2 linked regions of the Danio rerio genome follow. The protein of the gene in region 1 purifies or fractionates together with the protein of each later gene. This does not show direct contact. Links are inferred from orthologs where the notes say so. Each region holds a gene or a part of one and is shown in the gene's direction. Other genes may lie near its edges.

What was found.
Region 2: the proteins of mbip (region 1) and zzz3 purify together in Homo sapiens (affinity purification with mass spectrometry; 4 studies listed by BioGRID and IntAct, counting the BioPlex papers as one, with this or other methods). This does not show direct contact. The link is inferred for Danio rerio from reciprocal best matches to the Homo sapiens genes MBIP and ZZZ3.

What each region holds. Positions count from the first base shown.
Region 1 is NC_133192.1:40,174,217-40,177,289, forward strand, and holds the end of mbip (MAP3K12-binding inhibitory protein 1), read left to right. Parts: intron 1-2,100; coding exon 2,101-2,139; intron 2,140-2,248; coding exon 2,249-2,353; 3' UTR 2,354-2,573; downstream 2,574-3,073. UniProt on the Homo sapiens protein: Inhibits the MAP3K12 activity to induce the activation of the JNK/SAPK pathway. Component of the ATAC complex, a complex with histone acetyltransferase activity on histones H3 and H4.
Region 2 is NC_133177.1:9,166,339-9,169,838, forward strand, and holds part of zzz3 (ZZ-type zinc finger-containing protein 3), read left to right. Parts: intron 1-846; coding exon 847-918; intron 919-1,951; coding exon 1,952-2,053; intron 2,054-2,305; coding exon 2,306-2,401; intron 2,402-3,500.

The sequences.
Region 1 (3,073 bases):
CCCTGCTTTGTTTATTGCTATTGCCATGGAAACACTGTTATTCCTGCTGTTCTATAGGCGCCACCTGGCTTAGCATTTTAAATCAGTATATGAATAATGTATTCGTTTTACAATTAGTATTTAGTAGACTGTAAGTTAAAATGTTGCCGATGAGGTCTTAAAATGCATGGAAAGAGTCTTAAAAAAGGCCTTTAAAGGTATTAAATTTCATTCTCTGATTTTTGTATATACCCTGTCACAGCCCAGTAGGTCCGGTAAATGCCCAAGTTCCCTTGTCTCAATCTTCTTTTCACATCAGGGCCACAAAGTAAAACACGCAGAAACGAAAATTGAAAACAGCATCGCAAACTCACGGTTGACTAAAAAGTTAATCAAAATGAGCATTGCAATTGACTGTACGGGTTTTGTAAAGGCAATGCTGTAAAATTGTTTTGCAAATATATATCGTTTTTATTATTTTATATATATGCAAATACAAATCAAGCAGTGCTATATATATATATATATATATATATATATATATATATATATATATATATATATATATATATATATATATATATATATATATATATATATATAGCACTGCTTGATTTGTATTTGCAGTTCTTGTTTTGTTTGCTAATTTTTTTTTCTTTAATTTGCATTTATTTATTTATTGTTTAAAACTTTATTTTGCAAGTATATATGTATATATGAGCCTAGATTGACTCCATATGATAACTTTGGAACATTTTTAGACACCCAGAATGCTGTTATTACGCAAATTAATGTTAGCATGCCCATTTTCTCTGTTTTCCACATTTCAAGAATGCATAAATGTTTTTTTGTTTTTTAGTTTGTAAAGCACGTGTCATGTTAAGGCAAGTGTTTCTCAACCACGTTCCCGAAGAGTCCCACCAGCACTGTATGTTTTGGATGTCCCTTTTGTCTGTCACACTCATTACAGGTTTTTCAGTCTCCGCTAATAAGCTGATGATCTGAATCAGGTGTGTTTGGTTAAGGAGACTTGGTAAATGTGCAGAGCTGGTTGTTCTCCAGGTTGAGAAACACTGTGTTAAGGTACCATAGCTTTATCCATTAATGAGACATGATACATACATACATATATATGATAAATGGCCTCTTTTGACCCATTTAGTAATATTTGTTTGTTTGTTGCCATTTCCACTGTTTGTTTTTTCCCACTGTACCACAACACGTCCTTCTCGCATGTGTTTCCTCTTGCGTTCACGACAGTTGGCCGGAGAGTTCTTCAAAACCATTAAAAGCTGATATGAGTGATATATATTTTTTTCGCTCACTTCAGAATTTGTTATCCCTGTCAGATTGTAGCCCATCAAAGTTAGCTGAGTAAGTGCTCTTGAACCGTTTCTACGCCTCCTCACACCAGCTTCACTTAGTTCAGTGCTGGGCTGAAAGCTAGCTGATTTCCATGTCCTTTACAATGTGTGTGTATGTGTGTGTGTGTGTGTGTGTGTGTCTGTCTGCATATTGCCAGTAAAGTGGGACATTGAGTGCCGTCAAATATGCTGATCTTCTTAGTTTGCGCCGCAGCTTTCAGCAAGTCGAATGAATTAATTGAACTCTACTGACCAGGGTGAGCGGATATCATGCATCTGCCAAGTGGGTCCATATGCACCCATGAAAAGTGATTAAAATGGAGATAAATTATGGGTAATAGATAAAAAGAGATAGACAGAACAAATGAAAGGGCCATTGGGTGACAGAAAAAATCCCAATGGCCCCCACTTAATACTATTAATCAGTGCAAGTCCATAGCGGCTCGGGTTTGTTGGCAGTGATTGAGTGATGCTGAAGGACATCTCCGTTTCATACTCTAATCATGTGCCGTTTCTGTCCACTTACGCTTGTCCTTGGTTCGGCTTTTTTGTTTTGGCTGCCATTACATTTTTCTCCCCTTTTTGCTGTATTTTTTTCCACCCCCTTGTGAAAGCAGCCTTGTAATAGTTTTTCTTTGTTTTTGTTTAGTCTGATATTGAGATAAATGCTGCAGCGTGTTTTTGAATGACGCCTGATGTGCATTGTTCATATAAATCAGCATTCGTTTCATGCTTTCATTTCTTTTTTTTCGCCCAGAATTACTCGCACAAACGACCTAAAGCCTCAATGTCGCAGGTAAGTTCCATTACTGATTCATTTGCGTTTTCATGGAGAGAAAAAAATACGAAGGTCCCGCTGTTGAAAGAGAAGGTATTAGCTGATGAAAACGCTCTTGTTTTCACAGAACTACAGTCTGGCTGAGCTCGATGGGAAGATCAGTGCCGTCAAAGCTGCCTTGATGAAGAAAAGCAACGAATTCCAGTCCGCAGACGCAGAGTTTTCATACTGACACATGCACTTTTACTTTCTATGTTTTATTTTTTTCTTTCTCCTAATGACTTCATCTTTTTGGTCATGTGTGCAACTATGATGATCACACATTTCAGAGAGTGTGTCAGTGAATATGTTATATCTATAAAATGTATGGAAAATGTTTTGTTTTTTACATAAATGTGTCGTTGTGTTTTTTTTTGTACACCGCTTATGTAAATAAATGTGCATCTGATTTGATGGTGTTTTTCTTATGTATTTTTCCCTCAGCTGATAGCAGCCCTCCAGTATTTTTAATTTTCTTTGGAAAATGTATTCATCTTCTGAATGTGCAGTGTATTGGGTCACAAGGTTTATTGGTAACACTTTTTAATAACACTATGAATCAATTATTAAGCATTAGCATATATTGAATTCATTTTGTTAAGCTTTAACTCAACATTACTAGATGTTAGTAAGCAGTTTATAACTGCAGCTACCAATGCTGTATTCTGTACTTATAAGCACATTTATAATGTGCTTAATAATTGTACTTTCGTACTTTGTTAATGATTTATTTTTCATTACTAAATTAAGTATTGCATTATTTACAAACCAGTTATTTAAGCTTGGTGTTTTTTTCATTTAAGTTGGTGTTTTTTTAATAGCATTCAGAATGAGTATTTAGATAAACATAATTCTTATTATTAAGGCGTATATGAATAGTTAAGTTAATTTGTATATTAATAAATGCTTTGTT
Region 2 (3,500 bases), on another chromosome or scaffold:
AGACCATGCAAAAGTGGAGACCCAGGTGGTTTTAATATTACAGAATATGTGTTCCACCATTCATAGGCTTCACACTGATGTATATATGACAATTTTAAATTTAAAACAATTTACAAGTTACAAACTAAAATTAAATAACAAATTATGTTTTTGACGCAGTTGAATCAGAATTATTTGCCCTCTTTTGAAATTGTCTTTCTTTTCAAACTATTTCCCAATTTCTAGGCTTTATTGGTGATAACTAAGCTAGCTAGACAGTAATGTGTGAATTGTTGAGTGGGCAAAATAAAAACAAAAAAAAAGGTCAGTATTTTATTTTTATTATTGCCATAATTAAAAAAATATATAATTGTAGAGCAACCCAAGTTCTATTGCCATTAATATTTAACTTTAATAGGTTAGTTGAAGTCAGAATTATTAGCCCCCCTGAATTTTTAGTCGTCCTGTTTATTTTTTTCCCAAATTCTGTTTAACGGAGAGAAGATTTTTTTTTTCAACACATTTCTAAACATGATAGTTTTAATAACTCATTTGTAATAACTGATTTATTTTATCTTTGCCATGATGACAGTAAATAATATTTGATTAAATATTTTTCAAGACACTTCCATACAGCTTAAAGTGACGTTAAAAGGCTTAATGGGGTTAATTAGGTTAACTAGGCAGGTTAGGGTAATTAGGCAAGTTATTGTATAACGACGGGTTGTTCTGTAGACAGACAAAATATATATATATATATATATATATATATATATGTGTGTGTGTGTGTGTGTGTGTGTGTGTAGTGTAGCCACAATGCCCATGTATGCTGTTTTGTTGATTTTCCTACTGATGATGTTTGTTTAGATGATCAGAGGAAGGCTGTGCAACCAGAGCAAACCAGACACCTTCAACCAGCTGTGGACCATCGAGGAGCAGGTAGTACTAGTAGCTGTGAACTCTGAGACGTCTATAAACAAATTTAAACAAACTATTAAATGTGCACAGGTTGTAACACTGTTAGTCCAATTTATACTTTATTATTGTGAGATTGGCATCCCCCCCATGTTGCTGATATCCTTGTGAGCAATTGTACTTCTGCGTTCTGTCCATGTTGCTCTGCAATAACACTTCCGAAATAGTAGTTGGCAGTGGGGATTCTGTGTAAAACTGTGTTTTTTTGCCAATGTTTTGAGTTTGCACAGAAAATGGAGTAACAACAGTTCAAACTCACACTTTTTCTGGGAAGAAAGTTGGGAATCAGTGTGATCTTTTGCTGCTGTAGCCCATTCGCCTCAAGGTTCGACATGTTTTGCGTTCAGAGATGCTCTTTTGCATACCTCACTCGTAACAAGTGGTTATTTGAGTTAATGTTGCCTTTCTATCAGCTGGAACCAGTCTGGCCATTTTCCTCTGACCATTCTCTGTAAACCCGTGAGATGGTTGTGCATGAAAATCCCAGTAGATCAACAGTTTCTGAAATACGCAGACCAGCCCATCTTCCCCATTCGGATGCTTGGTTTAAATTGCAGCAGATCGTCTAGACCATGTCAACTTGCATAAATGCCTTGAGTTGCTGCCATGTGATTGGCTGATTAGAAATTTGCGTTAAGCAGTTGGACACCTGTACCTAATAAAATGGCCAGTAAGTGTATAGTGTGAATATTCTATATTTGAATATTTAACTTCTGTACCTAAATACTGTGATTTTAAAATATTTCACTTCTATTGTTTTCAGTAGTAATCCCTATATTCTTCCAGAATAATCCCCAGTCTAAATTAATGAATTCTTTCCAAATCATGCTGTTTATATGGCAATCTATATCGCAACAAAACAAAATATCGCTAATTTTTTCAAATATCGTGCAGCCCTAACAATTGTCCATTTAAATTTGTGAACGTATGCTATTATGTACATTTTAGTCTTTGGTGTAGCTGTTTTCTCATCTCATCTTGTATGTGAAACCTGTAGAAAAAGTTGGAGCAGCTGCTTTTGAAGTTCCCACCAGAGGAGGTTGAGTCTAAACGCTGGCAGAAGATCGCAGATGAACTTGGCAACAGGACCGCCAAACAGGTGCGTCTTCAGGGCCTGCCCATTCTCTCATAGCATTGACGGACTTCTCTTTCTAGTCACATTTTCACTGCTCAATAAATAAGTCATGCAATTCAAAGCCTCATTTAATGGAAGCTCTGTTGTTTACAGATGGGTTTTTTTTTTGCTAATGTGACAAGAGTCTGAAAATATAAAAGCTGTGGTCAGAAAGCTTCATCACTGAATTTATGGCCAGCTCTTTTTATGTCAAATGTTTGTTGCTTTTCTCTGCAGGTTGCTAGCAGGGTGCAGAAGTATTTCATAAAACTGACAAAGGCTGGAATTCCAGTGCCCGGCAGAACACCCAATGTGTGCATGTACAGCAAAAAGGTATAATCATTTTTTTAAATTAATTTTACATTTGTATTATTTTCTTTATATGTCATGTAATGTACACATAATTTGTATATTTATCTTTACACATTATTTACTACAACAAAGGGTTTGTGACTGTTTAAAGAGCCATGAAGCCCCCTGTCTCAGCAGGGTGTTTTTACACCTCTAGTTTGAAAAAAGTGGTCCAGCTCTGTTTGGGTGGGCGTGTCAAGTGGCGAAAGAGGAAGGGTTTGCATGAAAAGGGGAGTTTCAGTACGTGCACATGCTGATTTTCAAACACACGCACAGGCGAGATAGACTGTGACTCGGAGAGCAGCGGATCTAAGAGCTGTGTAAAAAAGTGCAGGATTTCTCTCCACCAGATTCTCCTCAGTCACATTATCTGTTTGATGACAGTGCAGGGCCACTGCCTTATCATTTTAAACCTTTCAACAAAAGCACGCCTGTGAATGCAGGAGAAAGTGAAAATGCTCCTGACAAAAAGAACATTGAAGTCTCGCAATTGTAATTATTATTCCCAACTTTATTTGTTGAAATAAACAAATAACTATTAATCACACCATTGTGCCTGCCAAAAATACACTAAAAAAAGAGGACTGTTTTAATCTTAATTTTCTCTGTTGTAATCTTAGGGTGCTTTCACACCTAGACTTTTGTTTCGGAACCTGTCTCATTTCCCCAGTTAGCGCGGTTCGTTTGGCATATGTGAATCAGCAAATGCTCTCTGATCCGCAGCAAAACAATTAGCCCGGAATCGCCTGAATGAGGTGGTCTCGGCTCGATTGAAACCAGGCCCGGATTGGCTAATCGGGAGGACCGGGAGAATTCCCGGTGGGCCGGTCTGTTTTTTGGCCGCGAGGGCCGGTGTCCCTAGCTGCTTGCACTCTCAGCAGTCACACTTTTTTCTTCTATTTATTTATTTGACCATAGCTTTACTTTTTTTAATCATTATTTTGCCGTAGTGCCGCTCTTTTTATTTATTTTCTCGCAGCCCCGTGAGAAAAATGCAGCCTGCAGGTTAACTAACGTTAATGATGATGATGTAATGCAACTATCGACCCCAAACAGCGGCACCTTAGTGAATATAAGAATT